Linked DNA regions of Arabidopsis thaliana. The protein of the gene in region 2 interacts with the protein of the main gene of each other region in a pairwise test. Each region holds a gene or a part of one and is shown on either strand. Other genes may lie near its edges. The genes, in order: TUB9 and RR1.

What was found.
Region 1: the proteins of RR1 (region 2) and TUB9 interact in a two-hybrid assay, tested with the Arabidopsis thaliana proteins (one large-scale study listed by BioGRID).

Annotation. Positions count from the first base shown.
Region 1 is NC_003075.7:11,180,120-11,185,245, reverse strand, and holds TUB9 (tubulin beta-9 chain), read right to left. Parts: upstream 3,155-5,126; 5' UTR 3,029-3,154; coding exon 2,635-3,028; intron 2,452-2,634; coding exon 2,182-2,451; intron 2,077-2,181; coding exon 1,406-2,076; 3' UTR 1,144-1,405; downstream 1-1,143. Other genes in the region: MS5 (Tetratricopeptide repeat (TPR)-like superfamily protein), read left to right, coding at 1-11, 94-242, 331-447, 483-1,143; AT4G20880 (ethylene-responsive nuclear protein / ethylene-regulated nuclear protein (ERT2)), read left to right, coding at 4,640-5,126. UniProt on the Arabidopsis thaliana protein: Tubulin is the major constituent of microtubules, a cylinder consisting of laterally associated linear protofilaments composed of alpha- and beta-tubulin heterodimers.
Region 2 is NC_003074.8:5,753,912-5,759,955, reverse strand, and holds RR1 (response regulator 1), read right to left. Parts: upstream 4,136-6,044; 5' UTR 3,844-4,135; coding exon 3,657-3,843; intron 3,601-3,656; exon of another isoform or gene 3,242-3,600; intron 3,160-3,241; coding exon 3,007-3,159; intron 2,924-3,006; coding exon 2,483-2,923; intron 2,410-2,482; coding exon 2,333-2,409; intron 2,255-2,332; coding exon 1,109-2,254; coding exon of another isoform or gene 1,103-1,108; exon of another isoform or gene 886-1,102; coding exon 817-885; 3' UTR 513-816; downstream 1-512. Other genes in the region: COBL8 (COBRA-like protein 8 precursor), read left to right, coding at 1-313.

The DNA.
Region 1 (5,126 bases), on a different chromosome or scaffold from region 2:
AGCTCTACAAGGTAATGCAGCCTCCTTCTTTGTTAATGCAGCAAGTGTTATGGAGTTGTTATAACTTGGAAATGGGTTTTGGTGTTTTTGCAGAAGTCAGGGAGAATTGAAGAAGAAGCTGTTTTACTTGAGCACAAACTGCAAACACTCGAACAAGGAATGGGATTTGGTGGTAGAGTCAGTAGAGCAAAAAGGGTTCAAGGAAAACATGTTATTATGACTATCGAGCAAGAGAAAGCAAGGTGAGAAAGTTTCGGTGTATTCTCATGTTAGCTTGATGAGTGTTTTGTCTCTTGAATTGACGTTTCCATTGTTGTTTGAACATTTTAGGATACTAGGGAACTTGGGCTGGGTTCATTTACAGTTACATAACTATGGAATTGCAGAGCAGCATTACAGGTTTGGTTTTGTTACCAAAATCCCAAATATTGATTACTGTCTGGTCATGTGAGTTTTGCTTATATTCAACTGATTATGAACAGGAGAGCTTTGGGTTTGGAGCGAGACAAAAACAAACTCTGTAACCTTGCAATCTGCTTGATGCGTATGAGTCGAATTCCTGAAGCTAAATCTCTGCTTGATGATGTAAGAGATTCTCCTGCAGAGAGTGAATGCGGAGATGAACCATTCGCAAAGTCTTATGACCGAGCCGTCGAAATGTTAGCAGAAATAGAATCGAAAAAGCCAGAAGCTGATCTTTCGGAGAAGTTCTACGCGGGATGTTCATTTGTGAATAGGATGAAGGAAAATATAGCTCCTGGAACCGCAAACAAGAACTACTCAGATGTTTCTTCGTCTCCAGCATCTGTGAGACCGAACTCTGCAGGTCTATATACACAACCACGCAGATGCAGATTGTTTGAAGAAGAGACGAGAGGTGCTGCTCGAAAGCTACTATTTGGAAAACCACAACCTTTTGGCTCTGAACAGATGAAGATCTTAGAGAGAGGAGAAGAAGAACCCATGAAGCGAAAGAAACTGGACCAGAACATGATTCAATATCTCCATGAATTCGTCAAAGATACAGCAGATGGTCCGAAGAGTGAATCAAAGAAAAGCTGGGCAGATATCGCAGAAGAGGAAGAAGCAGAAGAAGAAGAAGAAGAAAGATTGCAGGGAGAGCTTAAAACCGCAGAGATGTAGGATCTATTTGTACCGGTTATCAAGTTTTTTGGATCATAGAAATTGTATAGGCTTTTGACATTGAAATATTTTCATAGACAAAACAAAGAAGCATAGGCAAATGTGATTACACTCTGGAACAAATCTTAGGTTTGGGAAAGAAATTCAATAACAAAACACACAAAGCACAAAAAGAGAGAATCCCAATTCAGAAAAAGAGGTAAAAGGAAATGAGTGCGACGAACTTACAGCCTTACAAAAGTAATAATCAATCATCTTTTCTTTAGGCTTCTTCTTCTTCTTCGTCCTCCTCGTACTCCTCTTCACCGACTGTAGCATCTTGATATTGCTGATACTCTGCAACAAGATCATTCATGTTACTCTCTGCTTCAGTGAACTCCATCTCGTCCATTCCTTCTCCTGTGTACCAATGAAGGAAAGCCTTTCTCCTGAACATGGCAGTGAACTGTTCACTCACACGCCTGAACATTTCCTGGATTGAAGTTGAGTTTCCAATGAAAGTTGATGCCATTTTCAAACCAGTGGGAGCTATATCGCAGACGCTTGATTTCACGTTATTTGGAATCCATTCAACAAAGTATGAGGAGTTTTTGTTCTGGACGTTCATCATCTGTTCATCAACCTCTTTGGTACTCATCTTTCCACGGAAGACAGCAGAAGCTGTCAAGTAACGACCATGACGAGGATCAGCTGCACACATCATGTTTTTGGCATCCCACATCTGTTGAGTTAGCTCAGGGACACTCAAGGCACTGTATTGTTGAGATCCTCTTGATGTCAAAGGTGCAAAACCAACCATGAAGAAGTGGAGTCGTGGGAAAGGAATAAGGTTCACAGCAAGTTTTCTAAGGTCAGAGTTTAGTTGACCAGGGAACCGAAGACAGCATGTAACACCACTCATTGTAGCTGAGATGAGATGGTTAAGGTCACCAACTAAGATACACCACCACATAAGAAAGAAGAACAATGTCAGGATTTTCAAAACTACAATCACATGAATATTAGAAAACAAGAGAATAAATGGTTTGTAAATCTCACATGTAGGATTAGCAAGCTTCAAGGTACGGAAACAGATATCGTAAAGAGCTTCGTTATCCAAAACCATACATTCATCAGCATTCTCAACGAGCTGGTGAACGGAAAGAGTAGCATTGTATGGCTCAACAACTGTATCAGAGACCTTAGGAGATGGGAAGACCGAAAAGGTCATCATCATACGATCTGGATATTCCTCTCTAATCTTAGAAATAAGAAGTGTTCCCATTCCAGAACCAGTTCCTCCTCCCAAAGAATGACAAACTTGAAAACCTGCTCCACAAATGAATCATCAATCAGAGAATGAAATCAAACGCTAAACAAAGCATCTATGAAGGAGTTTCTAATAGCAGATCTGAATTCGAATGCATACAGGAACAGGAAACGCTAACAAATCAAAACACAAACGAGATTCAGAAAACGAAAACCTAGAAAATGAAAGCGTATCTCTCTCACCTTGAAGACAATCACAGTTCTCAGCTTCCTTCCTCACAACATCAAGCACAGAATCAATCAACTCAGCTCCCTCCGTGTAATGACCTTTCGCCCAGTTATTCCCAGCACCAGACTGACCAAAAACGAAGTTATCAGGCCGGAAAATCTGACCAAACGGCCCAGATCTGAGAGAATCCATAGTTCCAGGCTCCAGATCCATAAGAACAGCACGAGGAACGTATTTGCCTCCGCTAGCTTCGTTAAAATAGACATTGATCCTTTCAAGCTGTAGATCTGTATCGCCACATGACTGACCGGTTTGATCAATACCGTGCTCGCCGCAAATAACTTCCCAGAACTTAGCTCCGATCTGGTTTCCGCACTGACCTCCTTGAATATGAAGAATTTCTCTCATTTTCACTCGGATGTTTTTTTTTTGTTCTTTCTTTCTCTCGGGAATCGCTTTTAGTCTATTTTCTCGAGAAAATGATGAGAAAATTTGGCGACTCCCTCTGTTTATTGTTTATGATTGAGGGGTATAAAAACAAATGAGAGTAGTAATCGGCTATATATAGTTTACCTCCTTTTTTCTCTAGTTTCTCAAATAATTTGCATTTTCGTCCTTAGACTTCTATTGGTTTTTGATATTACCCTGATAGTTTTTCGATTTGGTTTCCTTTATGTGCTGTTATACAGCGAATCAAAAACAAATATCTTTCCTTAGATATTTTTGTTAATTAATTATAAAATATTTACAAAATCACTCGTGAAAGTTATATAAAGGCAAATTGTTTTCTACGCTTTTTTATATTATTGATTAGATCCTTTTTTCTTCGGATATTGAAATTAAAGACCAAAAGATTCGAATTTGCGTCATTAGTGGATTTTCCTTTGTTGTTTTTCACACCAATAATAGGCAATTTTACTTATTTAGCAAATCACCAAATTAATTAGATAAGCTGACAATAGAAATTAGAAGTAAATGGCTTACAGGCAAATAACAACTCATAAATATGACGATTTTAGAATAGTTAATCTGTTGCATAAATATCAATTTTCAAGTGAAAAAATATTACTATATGTCTTGCTTCTAAGTTTATTATATGAATCAACGGTTCAAACAAAAAAAAATCTATCAGGAAGGTTTTTTAGCATCTAACTATAGACACAATTCGTTGATAGGTTTAACAATAGATGAAATTGTTCAAATTATCTTTAGACAAATTTTAAAAATGTAAGGATCTTAAAATAGCTATTACCGGTTTACCATGTTTAGTTCACAAATAATATGGATGCATATTTCGGTTGTTTAGTTTAGTTTAGTTCGATGTAATTTGTTTGCTTACAAAATATAATTGAACAAAAATCTTAAATCTGTTTCGGAATGGTTTGTTTTTTTCACCGGTTTACCAAATTCACTTTTGCTTCGGTATAAATGAATTAAGATTTTGAAGCTACTGTTATACCATACTTGTAGTCATTAATGTTTTTACATATTGGGGAAATTAAGCTGAATAAATTAGTTTTTGTAAAGTTTAAGTCTAAAATAAATAAATTGATCAGCTTTATTAGAATTTTTTTATTAGAATTAATTTAATAATTTCGGTCAGATGGACATAGGTAATATTTTGGTACAGCAGAAAGTGTAAAATCTTAAAAACTGCATAGTACAGTTGTACAAATTTAACAAAAATGGAAATAAATAACAAATTTTTTGTAACAAAAAAAAGGAAGTAAAATAATTGGTTAAGGCACGCGTCGTCCTGCAATGTCTTTTTAGCGGTTTCCTCATCATATCTCTCTCTCTCTCATTTCACTTTCTGCGCAAAGAGGGCAGGAAGAGGTTTCTTCTCCATTTATTGCATTTGTCTCTCCAAAATGTCTAATTAATGGTTTTGATCTTCCAACCAGATCTTCTTCTCTATCTCTTCGACAAACCCTTTTTTCTGGGTTCTTCGGAGAGGTGATTTATCACCAAAAAAAAGATTTTAAAAGTCTAAATCCTTTTTTCTTTCTTTCCTTCAACATGCCTTTACCTTGGAAGAAATCTAAATCTAGTCGGATCTCTAGATTCGTATCAGACTTTCAACAATCTCCTAAACATGGTGGATCTCTCGTTGTTGAAACTGGTTTCCCAACTTCTTTAATCGATCTCTTTGTTAAGAATCGCGATCGTCTCAAAAAACAATCTTCAAAACGTAACAACAAGAACAACAAAGCCCAGACTGAAACGCGTGTTTTGTCTCCACCTCCTCCTCATATGTCTTTGCAGCGTCGTATGTCTCTTCCTTCCAAGCTTGATCCAGCTTTGGTTACAGAGGATTCTCCTTTGGTGAGAAAGATCGAGGAAACTTCTGTTCCGGAGATTATCCATGAAGACGACGGTGGTCATCGCGGTGGAGGAGGAGGAGGGTGTGTTTTGATAGTGGTGGTGTTTAAGGTTTTTATGGTGGCTGTGCTTGCCTTGAGCACGAAGAAGCTCGCCGTGGGGATCACGCTCTCTGCTTTTGCCC
Region 2 (6,044 bases):
CGGGAAGAACACAACTGTTTTAATGGAAGGGCTCCCTGGACTGAACTATCTCCTTGCAGAGAAAGACGGAAAAAACCCGAGTGAAGACTTTCGGATACCCGGGAAACAGCAGTCGGTTATCTCCTTCACCAAGAAACTGACTCCTGGAATCAAAGTTGGTTCCAAAGATGGGTTTCCCACCAAAGTACTCTTCAACGGCCAGGAATGTTCACTCCCTTCTGTACTACCCACGAGCAACAGTCACAGGAAACATGTATCCACCTTTCTTCTCATCCTGACACCATTTTTGGCTCTACTGTTTCTTCGGATTTAAAAGTTCCAGTGAAGGACTTTCCTCATTAGCCAGAAAATATACAGTTTTCTTGATTCTTTCTAACCAGATTTGATGCAGAATTACTTCTACTACTAGTGGTGCTTTGTGCACCGTGTGATTCTTGAATTTCGTATGATCAGATTTTAGTAATCAGTATGTATACATACAAATATTGAACAGACAAATCCCTTTGTGTTTTGATCTTGAATTGCTTTGATTTCACGTTGTGGCGTTGTACTAAATTAAGTTTGTTCGAATTATTCTAAGCATTTACTCGAAATACATACTTACAAAACCCTAAACAGCCTCACTACATAAATGAGGAACAAAAGAATCTCCAAGGATATTAACCCCTAACATGAATAATTATTTCTTATATAATCTGCCATTTAAAATTTCATGCAGACTACATATATATCAAACAAGTTTTAGTAGATCGTCGTGTAAAAATGATACAGTACAGATCCGGGTAGTCCCTCCGGTTTATCGGTTTTTTTATCCAATCAAACCGGAATGTTATCGATGGAGTATGCGTCAAAGTCGAATTCGCCATCAACCGGTGCAATCCCTTCCTGTATATCAATAATTCAAGATTGTGTTTTTCAACTTTTTTGGTTCACTGATTTTTTTTGTTATTTAGTTGTAATTTGCATTATTATGAAAAAGACATGCGACCAATGGTGAGAAAGCGTCTGAGAGTTGTTATATATTTGATTTTGAACGCAAACATGTACGTTGACGGATCAGATTATGCTTCTATATAAGTTTGACAAAAAAAAAAAAATCAAATCAAACCTGCTTAAGAAGTGCGCTCATAAGATCTTCTTGATTACTATACTGCTCGTGAAACGCCATTGTTGCTGTATCCGTAGCCACTCTCTCTGATTTCACCCTCACTGAACCACCGTTTCCGTCTGCATAAACCTGATGGTGCTGTACCATTCCCGATGGTGGCTGCTGGTGGTTTCGGCCATGCTCGGTGGCTGCAACTGTCGTGTTGTGTCTTGACATGGACGAAGAAGAGTAGGCTTCTGAAGCGGAAAACGCAGCGGATTCTGAGTCCTGATGTGAGTCAAAGGCTATTCCAATATTCCTCAGATCCCAATCATTCTGTCTGGTGGTGAACATGTCGTAGCTCGGCGTAGTGAAACCCGCTTCGGAGCTGTTAACCTCTTCCTGGTAAGAAGTGGCTTTCCGAACCGGTACTGATATCCCTGGTGCACTTGCCAGCGGGAAACTGTTCACGGGAAGTTCTGGTTGGAAGTTGTTATAAGGCATCGAGCTTGATGAGTGTTGTGTTGTGAGATTAGTGTAACTTGTCGGTAACACTCTGCTGCTCTCGGGGATATTGTTCCTTCCAGAGAAACCACTTCTCTCGGAAATGCGGTTTGATAACATCGGCTGCCTGATGGATGATTGCGAAGAGGTTAGCATAGGCGGTGGTCCCCGAGGCAAAGACTGCTGACCCGCTAGAGGCATCAGCATTCCGTTGTTTTGAACACTATTTCCAGCTCGAACAGCAGCAATCTGTTGTTGAATACTCATTCGATTACCCATAGGAAGCTGCTGTTGTAAACCCGTGGGGACACCGTGAAGTAAGTTCATCTGTGGTTGCTGTTGGGGTTGTTGCCCGTGATGCCCAAGCCCTTCTCCAAATCTTGTTTTCGTGTTGTCAAAGCTGAAGATGCTTCTCTCATCCACAATGGAGGAAACCGGCAAACCTGACTTAGAGACCATCGCAGGCCGGCCTAAACCAGCGGCTTGAAGCTGTGCAAGACTCTGTGCAGGTAACTGACCTGTGACGGCTAGTGCTTGAAGATCAAACCCATTCAATGTCGAAAGAGGTCCGAAGCTCGCATCCTGACCCGTCATAAACGAGTTGTTAAGATTGCCTTGGTGCTGCGATACCCCTCCAAGCCGTCTTAGATATATCCGGTATTTCTGCAAGTCCACATAAAGCCGCTAAGAACATCTAAGCATTTCAATGGCTCATTTTGGTATCCAGTATAAGATTTATACCTGGAGGTGACTTGCTACGTTTTCTCGGGTTAGACCAGGAACATTCATCAGCTCTAAGATCTTTTTAGGAACCGCCTCTGCGCCATAGAAGATCATTTAGACCCTGAGCATAACAATCACAAATGCAAATGTAAGAAGTTTTAGTCTTACTCTCAACGCCGAGCTGATTAACAGCAGCAACAAACTGCTGATGCAATTCAACAGACCAGACGACACGCGGTTTCTTCAAATTCGACGCATCTTCGTCCTTATCATCTCCTTGCTCTTCTCCTTCCTCGTCTTTCCTCTTCCGTGAACTGCTCCTCCAATTGTTACCTTCGTTAACCGAGGATGAGTTATCATCCACCGCATCCTCTCCACCAGAAACAGCTGCACCACCACCACCTCCTCTATGTTGCTGCTGCTGTCTCTCGCCAGTCTCCTCAATGCTCCCAGAATGTTCCGGTACACTCCATTCACTTCTCCTCTTCCTAACTACATGCTGCCATATGTTCTTAAGTGCCTCCATACGTACAGGCTTGATAAGGTAATCAACCGCACCGTGCGTTACTCCCTTTAGAACCACACTCTTTGAATCATCCGCAGACATCACTAGTTAAACGAATACAAGATCAATAATCTATAAAAAAAGATTCAAACTTAGATGAGATTTGAGGGAGTAAAAAGAACGTTACTGATAACAGGTAAGTCCATCTCTAGACCAACATGCTCAAGAAGCTTGAAACCGTCCATGTCAGGCATATGAACATCACTGATTACTATATCGAATCCATGTTTGTTCTTCCGGAGCAGAGACAATGCCATCTCTGCTCTGTTGCATTTCGTTACTGCATGTCATAACAACCAAAATGTTTCATATCTTCAAAGATAAAAGAAAAAAACAGAGATTTGAATTCTGACAACAAGGACCTCATGAATTGACATTTAACCAAAACTCAAGTCAAAGATCAAAGACTCAAGATTTGAATCCATTTGAAACCTCCCCTAACTTATTATATACAATGGATCTACATGTGAATCTATCAGTAGATCAAAATGGTGTGATCTAAATGAAGAAGCTCGAGATTAATATGTGAATCTTAAAAAGTAACCAAAATGGTTTCTATTAAAGGGGGAGCAAAGTTAGTCAACCACCGATATGAAAACCATAATTATTCCTCAAAATAACATAATTTTCGAGAATGGACCACAAATAAACCCATCATTGGAGCAAGAGACCATGAACTCTCTTTCTCTCTCTCTCTCTCTCTCTCTCGTGAGATTAAACGAACAAAAAAAAAAAAAAAAAAATGAAAAGAGAAGATCTTGGTTTTTGGATACGAACCTTCGTAAAGACAAGTCCTAAGCATCCTCTCTAAGATCATGAGACAAGTTGGGTCATCGTCAACGACAAGAACTCGAAGACCAGAAGGAAACATCTCGACGACGGTCTCACCACCACCTCCTTGATTTCTACCGGAGCTGGACCCACCAGCCGATCCGAGTCCTCTTCCGTGACTCGGATTCATCATACCTCTCTCTATGTAGCTCGAACCCAAGAAACAAAAAAAGAAAAGCAGAAAAGAATATATACCCAGAAAGAAAGAGGGGAAATTGACGCGAGTTTTATTCGATTTAAAATTGAATATTATGAGAGAATACGAAATTGTTGGAGATAGAAGTGAATCTCTTCTGGGTAACCAAAAAAAAGAAGAAGAGAGAGATGGTGAGATGAGACTTAGGGAGTTGAAGAAGACAAGGCTTGTCTCACCTTAGAGCTCTTTTTCTCTGTTTTTTTATTTATTCACAGAGTAAAGCTCTCTTAATTTTTCCTATTCAATTTTTGTAACATTTAGATGCAGAAGAAAAAAAAAATGTGGTTTTTATATACTCAGTCATATATATTTTTTATTTACATATATGTAGAAGCTGACATGTCCTTTATTTTCATCATTCTCTCTACATTTAGACTATTGGTTTTATTAAATTTCATTTAGATCCACTCTCTTTTTTATTCTCAATTTCTTACAAGTTAGTTTTGTATATTATATGTACTATTGTTCTATATTCTGTTTTATTTTTCTATTTAGAAGAACATTTTGGATGTTGCTTTGAGCTCAAATTCTGGGTTATTTTGTGAAGTAGTGAAATATAGGGGTTGAATCATCAATGAAAGAAATATAGGGTAAGGAAATTTATATAATTGGGAAGAAAGTGGGACCAAAGACCCTTGATTCGTGGATCCAGCTCATGCATGAAAAAATTAATTAACTCGTCATATGTAAAGTTTGCAAACTCAAACCTTAATAGATTTTCATTAGTATTATTGTTGTTAGTTTCCTAATTTTTTGTTTTAATTTCCATTTTCTACCAATTTCGAATAGGAATTTGCCTTAAACAAAAGAGCAGCTGCATATATATATAAAAAATTCTTAGTTTTGATATGCCTATAATTTATTTACTAAACTACCCTTTGAATTTATGTAATTGAGAAACAATGCCTCCTGTCTATTGGACCTACATGTATTAAATTAAACGGCAAAATAAAAATATAATCATATCATTAAATTAAACAAAATAATACGTCTACGCACATTCAAGCATATGATTAAGGTACCAAAATACACCTAAGCATTTCCCATCATCACCTACATCTTTAGCTAAGATATAGTACATATACTTTTATCAACAAAAAAAAACCAGATATATGATGTATACATAACATAAGATTACTCGATGCCTTTTTTGGTGCAAATTAAACATATAACCTTCCAAATTTTTTAGTATGTATTTATTTCAAGTCGTGTGTAACTATGATTAGTAAGAATATAACTTATATAGTATACTTTTCATGTTTTAATCAAAAACAACTTGTAGTTCTAGGAAATAAATTGTATTAAATGGAAAATAGAAAAAAATTGTACGTTTGATTGTTGAAAACATATATATATATATATATATATATATATATGTATGTATAATTACAAGTTTACAACAACAGTAGTCAGTATATGGTGCAAAAAAAAACATGTGCGCTTCTTCTCTTAAAACGTTGGATACTAAATAAACAAAGAAATAATGCAAATGGTTCATCTGAATGATTAGTAACATCATATGCTACCCACCAATCGCCCTATTCCCCCGAAAGTATATTTTTAATAATGTATAGGATAACAAATCATATTTGACTATTCGATTGCTCTACGACATATTTATAAACACATACAAACCAGTAACTTATTTATAAATGTGTAAATTTGTCAACTTCAATGTAAACTATATCTAAGTTATCCAAGTTCAGTGTATACTTTGCTTAAATAGTTGTTTAGCACCGCCGACATGTCTTATCTTTTTCAAATTAACGATAGTTTTAAGTGTGACATACGACTTGTTTCATATGTGCATCGATACCTAATTTCTTACATTAATCAATGTTATCAAGTAAAATTCACTACTTGTAGTATTTAGAAGGAAAACTCAACAATACGAATATTAAATCAATTAAGTATTTCTTTAATTTTTATGAACTATCAACTATAGTGTATTTTCTTTTGGAAATACTGTACATGTGTATATTTCGAAGAATAAAATGAAAACATTTAATGATAAGAAAAAAACAAATAAATCACGTTGCTGAGAAGCTTTCCCTATTGCGACACGTGTCCACATGAAATGGATAAGATCACTCGAACCATTTGCATCGACCTCTCCATCTATCGTTGTCTTCATTTGT